Linked DNA regions of Ovis aries. The protein of the gene in region 3 purifies or fractionates together with the protein of the main gene of each other region. This does not show direct contact. Links are inferred from orthologs where the notes say so. Each region holds a gene or a part of one and is shown on either strand. Other genes may lie near its edges. The genes, in order: CCP110, CEP97 and KIF24.

Evidence for each region.
Region 1: the proteins of KIF24 (region 3) and CCP110 purify together in Homo sapiens (co-immunoprecipitation; 4 studies listed by BioGRID and IntAct, with this or other methods). This does not show direct contact. The link is inferred for Ovis aries from reciprocal best matches to the Homo sapiens genes KIF24 and CCP110.
Region 2: the proteins of KIF24 (region 3) and CEP97 purify together in Homo sapiens (co-immunoprecipitation; 4 studies listed by BioGRID and IntAct, with this or other methods). This does not show direct contact. The link is inferred for Ovis aries from reciprocal best matches to the Homo sapiens genes KIF24 and CEP97.

Annotation. Positions count from the first base shown.
Region 1 is NC_056077.1:17,602,387-17,606,699, forward strand, and holds the start of CCP110 (centriolar coiled-coil protein of 110 kDa), read left to right. Parts: upstream 1-1,472; 5' UTR 1,473-1,911; intron 1,912-3,374; 5' UTR 3,375-3,516; intron 3,517-4,313.
Region 2 is NC_056054.1:166,998,942-167,002,231, reverse strand, and holds part of CEP97 (centrosomal protein of 97 kDa), read right to left. Parts: intron 2,311-3,290; coding exon 1,606-2,310; 3' UTR 1-1,605. UniProt on the Homo sapiens protein: Acts as a key negative regulator of ciliogenesis in collaboration with CCP110 by capping the mother centriole thereby preventing cilia formation. Required for recruitment of CCP110 to the centrosome.
Region 3 is NC_056055.1:37,231,356-37,235,007, forward strand, and holds part of KIF24 (kinesin-like protein KIF24), read left to right. Parts: intron 1-631; 5' UTR 632-660; coding exon 661-1,283; intron 1,284-2,872; coding exon 2,873-2,980; intron 2,981-3,652. UniProt on the Homo sapiens protein: Microtubule-dependent motor protein that acts as a negative regulator of ciliogenesis by mediating recruitment of CCP110 to mother centriole in cycling cells, leading to restrict nucleation of cilia at centrioles.

The DNA.
Region 1 (4,313 bases), on a different chromosome or scaffold from region 3:
AGATGAGATGTTTAGATATGCATCACCAATTCAATGAACATGAATCTGAGCAAACTCTGGGAGATGGTGAAGGACTGAGGATCCTGGTGTGCTGCAGTTCATGGGGCTGCAAAGAGTTGGGCATGATTCAAGGACTGAACAACAACAAAACAGTAGAGCAGGTATAATCAGATTGTAAAGCTGGAAGGGATTTCAGTAATGCCCTCATTTGATAGATGAAGAAGCTGAGGCCAGGAGAAGTGAAGTGAAATGAGCTGATAATGGCAGAGTCGGGACTAACATCATGCTACCCAGTTTTATGCCATGAAATTTCTACTGCTACTCCTCTTAACCTTACTTCTTCTCCTACTAAGGTCTAATGATGGGGGTTCTGTACAAGGAACTGCAAGAATTATCTCAAGTATTCCTTACAACTACTCTTGTGATAGGCACATTTAAATCTCTCATTTTATACACGAGAAAATTGGCATGGGAAAGAGGGTAAGAGAGGCAGAAAGTAAGGCCAGTTTAGGAAAGGGGCTAGCTGTTAAGTCATATTTTGAAAATGCCAACAAAAATTGGCAGTTGCCATTTGCCTCTGTAAGGGTTAAATTATTAGCCACTGCAGCCACTGACCTTCAACATATCCTGAAAGGAGTTCAGGGTGGAGATCAGGAATGAGGTACTTTGTCCTCTGGGAAAAATTGGGTATTTTCAGAAGATTTTATGAGCCCAATTCTTACATCTCCTCCTATCTAGAAAAGCACTAAAATCATTAATGGTGGTATCAGCTCCTCATGGCCAGCGGAAGCCTCTGGCAAAACGTGTGCTTGACTTCACATATCCCTTTCCGCTAAAATCGTACTGACCTCTCTTCCTGCCTCTCTGGGGGCAGTTTCTCAGAACTATCTGAATTGCTGTCTCCTGAGTAATAGTCCTCATTTTTGTCCCAAATAAAACTTAACCTACAACTCTTGTGGTATTTTTTTTTAAGTTGACAGAAAACTGGCAATATGTTTGGACAGAGAACTTTGGCAAAACATTCTGAGCTTTTCCTGCCATTCTTAACCTGCTGCCTTCGTTTCTTGGAGGTATTTTCCCTGTGATTTGCAAGAGTAGGCAAGTGTTGAAGCTTCAAGTTGTGGCATCTAGGATTCAATCATTTTTTTTTTTTAAGAGAGAAAAAAAATTTGGTGCCTACTGTATGTATTCCAACGATTGTACAGAAAGAAGTTATCTCTTTACAGATAAGTGAAAAATAGCAGCTTCAAGGAGCATTTCTCGAGGCTTCAGCTCCTAACGAAAGAAAATTTGAGAGCGGTCAGTGAGGACTACGCTTCCCGGCGTGCACCGCGCCTTCCGTAAGAACAACGCCTTCCATCGCTGGGCCGGGACGCGTAAACCAGGCGCGCACAGCAACTCGGGGATTGTAGTTTTCTGAAGGCCCAACCGGGCCAACGGACCCGGAAGCAGCCACCGGAAGTTCTGGCCCTAAGAGGTGGAGTCCGGAGGTGGGGGTGCGGCGGCGGCGGCGGCGGCGGCGGTGGCGGCGGCGGTTGCCAGGAGCCCGCGTTGCCGCCAGAGTACCGTAATATGGCGGGGAGGAGAAGGAGAAGGCGGCGGCGAACGGAGTTGTTTTCAGTCAGTACCAATTGAGCAGTTTGCTTCCTACCAAGGCCAGGAGCTAGGGGAGGAAACCTGCCGGGACCGTGGGAGAACAGGTGTGTGCCTAAGAGTGGGCTTGACTCAGCGGGTCTCGGCTGCGAGGCCGCAGGGCGGGCGGAATTGGCGCGCTGAGGAGCTGAAAGAAACCCGAGCGCAGGGGCTTCCGGACGTCGAGCCCCTGGAAAGACTCAGGCTGTGTGGAGGCGGGTGCCCCGGGGGCCTGCGGCATCGGTCGCGGAGGTGATGTTCAGATGCTGGCACCGCCTGGTGGGTCCTCGGGATGGAGCTTTATCAGAGGAGCTGGGGAAGGTGGACTTGGGGCGCTGGGGAGACGGCAGAGGGTCCCCAGTAAATAAAATCAGACCAAAACTGGGGAACCATCTCCTGTTGATAGAACTGGTTGGGCCATTTTTTTTTTTTTTTTCCTGGCAAGGGGAGCGTCCCAGGGTGTGCACTGGCCATTTCTGAATGCCAGTTATCACCAGCTAAAGGGCCTAGGCGCATTCTTCATCCTGCGTTTGTGACTCTCTGGGGGCGCAAGGAGAAGGATAAAAAAGCAAATTATCTTTATTGGCCCTCATGCTACTAGGTGGTTTCCACCCTTTGCTTCTACCTGGTTATAACCCCAGTTCCCTGCTCCCAATTTAAGCAATGGCAGGCACCTAGAGTTTGACTTAATGAACGCAGCAAAATGAGGAAGCTGAGGTCCCCCTTTCCACGTTTTTTTTAAAAAATTTTATTTAGTTTTTAATTGAAGGATAAATGCTTTACAGAATTTTGTTGTTTTCTGTCAAACCTCAACATGAATCAGCCATAGGTATACATATGTCCCCTCCCTCTTCAACCTCCACGTTTTTAAGTTAAATTTGAATCTTACCAGAAACTAAAGCACTGTCACTGGCCTCTAGGAATTCATAAACTAGTGGAAAAAATAGTCGTCATCATTCTCTTCCTAATGAAAGTTACTCCCATTCGTTGCTTTCTGCATGTCCTATTAATGAATCCACACAGAATCTCATCAAAGCAAATACTATGATTATACCTATTTTACAGGAAACGAGGGATAGATATGGTAAGTGAATTGCCAAGAACATTCAGCTCCTGTGTGCCTGAAAAAGAAAGCTTCCCCTTTTTTTTTTTGCCCCTTTGAAAAGACTGATGGGTAAACAAGTAGCTAGGATGTGTAAACAGGACATGTTCTGTGTTCTTTCGTGATTCCCTTCAGTGACTTTTCTGATGGAGCACTGAGGAGGAGCAGGTAGCAGAGTTGTGAGTCTATGGGGTTTGCAAAGAGGCTCATTTGGAGAAGGATCCTAGTTTAAGTGGAGAAGACAGGCCATGTCTGAACTTGATGCAGCCAACAAATTATTAATTCAAGTGGACCAGTAATACCTAGTGGTAAAGTATGGGGCAGTAGATTTGTGGTTGCAGTGGCCTTGTAATCAATGCTCCCTTAAAATAAAACCCTGTTAACAGAGGTAATTGTGGCATGAGAAATGGAGTTCCCTGTTGCTTAATTACATAGGATTCCGGCTCTCGATTTTTAAATGGTTGCCTTTGCAGTTTAGAGGTACCATTTTCTCTGGGAATAGTGTCATCAATGAAAGTCCTATTCTCTAAATTCCATTCTTCCTTGCTAGCTTCTTTGCAGTGTAGTCTACTGTCTTCTTTTTTCTGATTTACTTTATTATTTGAGCTAACTATTCTGTTTATTCAACATTTTTATGAAGTGCCTCCTGTGTACAGACTTTGTCCTATGTAATGGGGATTCAGTGGTGAGCAAGACTGAGAAGGTACCTGTGCTTATGGAGATTACATTTTGGTGGAGGAAGACAGACAAAACCCAAGGAAATAAGATAATTTCAGATAGGGGTAAGTGTTATGAAACTTGGGAAACAGCAGGATAGTGTGATAGTGAATGACACAGGGTTCATGCTATAGAGTCACTTGGTTATTTTCATAATCATGATATTATCATAGGCCATAAGTTATGCGGTAATAATAATATATTGCTGTATGTCTGCAGTGTGTATGGCAAACATATACTGTTTAAGGGATGTGAATTTAACTTTCTGAAGCAATGAGGCATATTTATATGATGTTGAAAGAAATATAAAGCTATTACCATAAAGATATTTTATTTCCTTAAATTTCCCAGACCTTCCATGCTTTGCTTGTGTATCCATTGGAAGTATATTACATTAATTGTATGAGTAATCTATTTTTGTTTCTTGTAATGCTGGATGTGTGGGTTGTGTTAAAAATTCTTTTGAAGCATTTTAGTAGAGAGGGGATCATTTAATTTTCTCTTATATCTTAGCTTCTGCCTATTCTAATTTTTAATATATAATGTGGGTTGAAGCCTAGACTAAATGAGGCCTGCTTTGGTTATCATGCAGTAAGCTGTTTTGTATTTTATTTTCTTGTTTTATGAATTTAAGTTTGCAAGATAATCTCATTTATACGCTAGAGAACCATTTCTTTGAAATTAAGTTCTCAATTTGCATAAATGAAAATAGAAATAATTAGAATTGGTGGGATGGTAGGAAGAAGTTTTGCTATTAATAAGACTACCAGAAAAAAAAAAAGGACTACCAGTTTGTCAAAAGTAGCAATAGATCTTATTTTCTCATAATGTAATCATAGTTTCATGTGTGATTTTCCTTCAT
Region 2 (3,290 bases), on a different chromosome or scaffold from region 3:
GAGGAAATGTTTCTAACTCTCAACATAGTATAAAATGTGATCCCTGACTTTACTCTTGGAAGGATCAGCTTTTATTTTATGTAACTTCAAAGAAGGGGACCTAGTGACTGTAACTGAATAATGAATACATATTTAGCACCTAAATTTAAAGAACACTTAATTATTGCCATAGTTTTAAATCATTGTACACACACAGACTGGGGGGAAGTCAGATATGTGTGTTCAATGATATTAGAACATTCTCAAAGATTAGAATCTCAAGCTTCCAAAAATTACCCTTGATTTGCAAATGCATTTATTAACATTCAAACACAGTATTATCATTTCTTCCTGGAGTTACAGATATATACTCTTTTTAATGAATAAAGAAATAAATGAGGTTTATTTTTTCTTTACCACCATTAAGTTGTCTTCCAAATGTGGCACTTTTTCAGATTTAGATGGAAAATAGTCCTTATTAAAAATGTCATTCCTATTCTACCACTGGTATTATTTTAAATGTTCTTTTCTGTGAGGTCAAGAATGAAGTAAATGACCATGGGCCTCTGCTGAAATATATAAGCAAATATAAAGCAGGAACAAAGAAAGCGTACATTAATTTCTGGCAACATACTGGCACATAAATTCTTATCTGTGCATGTGCTTAGTCACTCACTCGTGTCTGACTCTGTGACCCCATGGACTGTGGCCTGCCAGGTTCCTCTGTCCATGGGGATTCTCCAGGCAAGAACACTGGAGTGGGTTGCCATGCCCTCCTCCAGGGGATCATCCCGACCCAGGGATCGAACCCAGGTCTCCCACATTGCAGGTGGATTCTTTACCAACTGAGCCACCAGGGAATGCTTATCTATGGGGTGAAAAATCACTAAATGAAAAGATAATAAATGTTTGGTGGGATATTATCCCAAGTGAATGGAGCCTATACCTAACAGAAATATTCTTGTGTTGCCCTTTAAACGAGCTTCACTTTAATTCTGGACAGACAACTTTGCTTCATATGTTAAAATTGATACATAACGTTCAAGTTTTCCATGAAACAACTTAATTATTCCCACTGAAAAATCCTATCATCTTACCTTTTTTCCTGTTTGCTTACAAGAAGTCTTTCATGGATTAATAGGGAAGAAAAAGGTTTAAAAACACATGTTCTTACTCCAAAGAGGCTGGCAAATTTCAATAGTTCACAATCCTATATGTCATTTATATTTACTGTACCAAATTGCATTCCTCACTACATAATTAACTTTCTCACATACAGAAGAATTAAAAATTCTCTTATTTGCATCTTTAAGGTAAAATTTCTATCTCCTTTAAGGTATTCTAGTTTATTTCTGAAAGGAAATGAATACATCAAAACATCGGAACACTGTTGATGCAATTTAGTTGTTAATAAAGTGCATGTGGCTTTCAATATAAATATTGTTTGATACATTATAGCTAAATAAAAAGCTAACAAAACAAAAAGGAAGATTTACCTCAGTACCTAGGTTGCAGGGGAAAAAAAATAGTAACAAAACTGGGAGAAATATTCTTCTTCCCCCCCAAAAAAGCCATGAAAATATTCTTAAATTAAATAGACTTCTGCTTTTCAAGCAACCAGACATGCTACACAATAATACCAACGTGCAATACCTGAAATGTAGAATCACATTCTGACTGCTGCCCTTGTACTTCTGCATTTAATTCACAATTCTCTGGTGTCTGGCTGACTTCATATGGCAAAGCGGGAGATACGCCTTGAGCGACATCTACAGACGCACTATCAGATACGACATCTAACTTTTCAGGGGAACGAGGTAGGTGAAGCTTACTATCTCCCGTCCCTTCATCAAAGTGTCTCCTCTCATCAGCGTCATCTAGCTGCTGAACTGAAGTTAGATACTGTTCAAGCAGACTATTATCCTGCTCACTGTTTGAGCCTTCCTTACTCCATTCACCATGTTCTTCACTAACATCCCCTACGTCTGACTCTTTGCCATACTTGACAGTGTCAATGGAATTCCCCATTATGGAACTTTCACTACCTTCTGTGGAACTTTTTTCAAAATCCAAAGAATCCTGTACACAGTGAACTTGTTCAGTTAAGGAGGAATGAAAACCAGAGTCTGGAAATTCTGGTAAGGATTTCTCTTGAGGAGCTTCATCAGGAGCAATGAACCAATCAGAATTTTGATCAGAAGATGGCTCCTGACTTTGGCTGAATAAAGGAGGTTTAGATGGCACCAGAGTACTTGATATAGGGGGAACATCAATATGGCAGGAACTTAGATGCTGGTCCACAGTCTGTTGCCAAGCTTGTAGAGACCTTACCTGCAAACCAAAGGATACAGTTTCACTACAAAACATAAATCACGCCTATTTTACAACTGTCCTTTGAGGTTTCTTTCCCCCCTAGACTCAGGAAGTTGGTAAACAGCAGATGGCAAAACTGGAGTTAGAAATGTCCTGACTCCCCTGATCCTTTCCACAGCACCCCCAGCTTAGACCTGGTTGGCAAAAGCGGTTCACGTTGTTGGAAAGCAGGAAAGCAGGGATGGGCCAAAGCAATTCACTTGCTCCTACTAGAAAGATAATCAGAAGCACAATAAGGCACATACAGCTCACAAAGGGGTCAATGAGGTTCTCAATACACTGAAGTCTATTTAACAAGAAACAATAGAACCTATTAATAAGAGTAGATTCTCTAAAATGGGAGTCTCATGCTAGATACCCATTTCAGATAAGAGTTTTTAAAAACTAATAATGCAGGATTTCCCCTGGTGGTACAGTGGATAAGAATCCCCCAGCCCATGCCGGCAACACAGGTTCAATCCTTGGTCTGGGAAGATTCTACACACCGCAGAGGCCATGTGCCACAACTACTGAAATTGGTGTGCCTAGAGCCTGTGCTCTGCAACAAGAGAAGCCACCTCAACAGAAGCCTGAGCACCACAATGAAGAGCAGCCCCCGTTTCCTGTAACCTCAGAAAGCCCTCTTGCAGCAATGAAGACCCAGCACAGCCAAAAATTAATTATTTTAAAAAGAGAGGGAAAAAACCTAACAATGAAGTATACACAACTCTAAAATACCTAAAAATTCCTGGAGTTCTTAGTAATACGATCTTTACTTCTTTTTCTTTCTTTTGGCCGCGCTACACAGCTTATGGGATCTTAGTTCCCTGACTAGGGATCAAACACACACGCCCTGCAGTGGAAGCGTGCAGTTCTAACCACTGGACTGCCAGGGGATTCCGGACTTTTACATTTGTAAAGTATACTTAGAACCTCAGAATTTTACTGTAATACGCAAC
Region 3 (3,652 bases):
GCCTTTTAGAATGATCTGAAAATCCTGAATTAGTAGATTCTGGATTAATGATGTTTTTACCTCTATTCAACTAACTTCTACCAGTACTCAGTATATACAAATGTGATTTTCTCTGAATTATATTCATGATCCTCTGTGAGTCACTATTTAATTCTGCTTTCCATTTTGAAATAGTTCTTAGCCTTTGTTCGTTAATCATGGGAAACAGTTGTGCGACATGCCTTGACATTAACTTGAACATCTAAAATTAGTCCCGTAACAATCAGCAGTTGGGGAGAAGGTTTCAGTAGTTTGTGGTATATGTGAAGTAGACATTGCAAGACTGGAAGGAACTCCCTAGAATAAGTAAGTGATTTGTGTTATGTGTATGTGCATGTACCTGTGTGTGTACATAACTGAAAGTCTCTCTTTATTAAGCAAAGGACAGATTACTACAAATGCATTATAAGCATGTTTATATATTATGCTATTTAATCATTTTAAAAGAAAAATGTATTTATTGAAAACCTGGAATGCTGGGATGGATTTTGCTGCATATTTCTTTTGTGGGTTTCTTTTTTTTTTTTCAAGGAATAATTGTATTATATATACTATATTTCAAGTGAATGAATTTTTTTTTTTTCCTCTTCAGAGTTTATAGAAACAAACCTATTCACAAAAATGACATCCTGGTTGTATGAATGTCTTTGTGAAGCTGAACTAGCACAGTATTATCCTCATTTTACTGCCCTTGGCCTTCAGAAAATAGATGAATTAGCCAACGTTACAATGAAGGACTACTCCAAATTGGGAGTCCATGACATGAATGACCGCAAACGTCTCTTCCAACTTATCAAAATCATTAAGATTATGCAGGAAGAAGATAAAGCAGTCAGTAGCCCAGACTATCGTCTTCAGACAAGCAATCTGTGTGTCAAGCCTCAGAAATCCAGATCTGGCCCTCGAAGGCAACTGCATTTTGATTCTCCTGCTGACAACAAAGACAGAACTACCAGCAACAATCAGTTTGAACTGTGTGATTTATCAGATTTTTCTGCAAGTGAACAGAAGTCTAACTACATAAAAGTACTGGAGCACATGCTACCAGCTAATTCCCAGTACCATATACAAACAGGAATTCTGAATGCCACAGCCGCTGATTCCTGCATACAAAAAGAAGCTAAGACTTCATCCTTTTCATCTAATTACTTTTCTCCAGTACAGGGGGATTGTGATAGTTCAGTTATTCAAAGAATCTCTCATGTTTCAGGGTATAACTATGGAATCCCTCATTCCTATATCAGGTAATAACTTTTTATCTTTTTCTTTTTTCTGGAGGGAAAGGAGCCTTAGGCAAGGGCAGGGTTCTCCTTGAGCAGAGGAGACCAACTACTCCGTATTTACAGAAAATAATAGTGAACAGCTTCTGTGGTGATAATGCAGATACCTTGACTGGGGGAAATTGATGAAGAATTTGGACTTTCCAGATGGGAGAAAGATGATTGTTCATGTGCATTAAGCAGCTGCTACTTCCCAGGGTCAGCTGCAGACCTGTTTTTATTATAGCCTGACATGATATATATAGTGCATCCATGAAGGTAAAATAGTTAACTTTCCTCTGCAGTAGAAAAAAAAAATTACAAAATCCATAGGATTTTTTTTTTTTTAGATTGTCAAATTAACTTCAACCAGGGCTCATGAAGCTTAGTTTTAAAAAAACCACTGCTTAATTCAGCTAGTTGAATTAAATAGGTCTTTGGAGCAGTTGATTTACCTGCAAAATTTGAAATATGGTCCTGATTTTGAGTGCTTTTTACAATTCCAGCCCTGGAAGAACAGATGAGTTTGGTCATTGCAAATAGTAAGATACTTTTGATAGCATTTACAGTTTGGGAGCCAGAGTGACAATAAGTTATTTTCACTTAGTGGTGATGAGTTAGAATTTGAAAAAGGTCCCTAAGAGTTGAAATATCAAGTAATCCCTAATACTAACCTTGGTATAATAGAAAATACATTCTTTTAAAAATACTGTGTATTGCCTGTTTTGTTATTTTAAAAGTTACAGTTGGTGAGTTACGGAGAAACAAAATACATTCTTAAGCCACTTTAAAAAAAAAAAAGGGCTATTATTCATACCTTAAAACAGTATTTCCATATGGTCTTATATTGGCTAAGGTTTCAGAGGATTTCATAACCAACCAGTTCTTTTATTCTAAAAGAATAGAGGATCCAATTTTAAAGGTAAAAATGTCTTCAGTAATTTGAAATACATAAATGAATTCTATAGTTTTTCTGAAAATAAAATTTTTTTTGGCTTGGTTTAGCAAAGCACAGAGCATATAGTATTTTTTTCTTCTTTTAGTTGTGAAAGGACTGGATTGTTCTATGACCATCAATACCATGATTGTTGCTGTCCTGTTGGTTAGCTCAGCGGTGAAAGAGCAAATACTTTTTTGAATGTTAGTCTTTTATTGAACAACATATAAAAATCTAAATTGGAATTATTTATAAATAGAATGAAGATATGACTTTCCATTATTTATTTAGATAGAATGGATATTTTAGTTTAAATATTGCTGCTTTATTTATTTCACATATATAGAATACCCCCTCTGCCTGTCCTGATTCTAGATATAAAGATCATTAGACTATCTGGAGACTCTGAGACTCTTAGGGGGCAGGGTGAGTGGGAAGTCAGACAACCATAGAGTGAGCTAAGTGCTCTCACAGAGGTTTATACATGCCAGATGCAGGACGAAAGGTGTTCAATTGAGCTTTCTCACTGTTTGTATCATCTTACACTTTCCATTCCTTATTATATTAGAGAAATGGAGGTTAAGAAAGTTCATTGTCCCAATAATTCTCAATATTGTCTTCTCCCCTAAATTCTAAGTAGAAGCCAGAGTTTCAGAACCCTGAGAAACTCCCTCACCAACTTGAAGCTTCCTGTTAGTGAGTCATCCCTATCCGAAGAGCATTCTCTTTGGATACCTCAAATTAGGTAAGTTCAAAATAACTTATTGGACTCTGAATTTTAATGAAAGTAAGGCATTTAGAGGACTGGTTGCCCTGACTTATTTAAGATTGTGAACAGACCTAACTCTAGCTGTATTAACTTTGCATGTCAGACAGATATAGTTTATTTCTTCTAGGGAATATTGCACATTAAAACTAGAGCCTTAAAAAAAGAAGAAAGCTAGAACCTTTTTGGAGAAGGCAATGGCACCCCACTCCAGTACTCTTGCCTGGAACATCCCATGGACAGAGGAGCCTGGTAGGCTGCAGTCCATGGGGTCACTAAGAGTCGGGCACAACTGAGTGACTTCCCTTTCACTTTTCACTTTCATGCATTGGAGAAGGAAATGGCAGCCCACTCCAGTATTCTTGCCTGGAGAATCCCAGGGACAGAGGAGATTAGTGGGCTGCTGTCTGTGGGTCACACAGAGTCAGGCACGACTGAAGTGACTTAGCAGCTTAGCAGAACCTTTAGGATGCTTTAAAAGATGTGTTTTATTCTGAGAAATTCTCGGTGGCCCAGTGTTTAAGACTCTGTACTTTCACTGCTGGGCTTAGGTTCAGTCCTGGTTGGGGAACTAAGATCCTGCAAACCCCACAGAATGGTCCAAAAAAACCCCAAAAAAGTTTTTTTTTTTTTCTTATAAAAAATAAAACA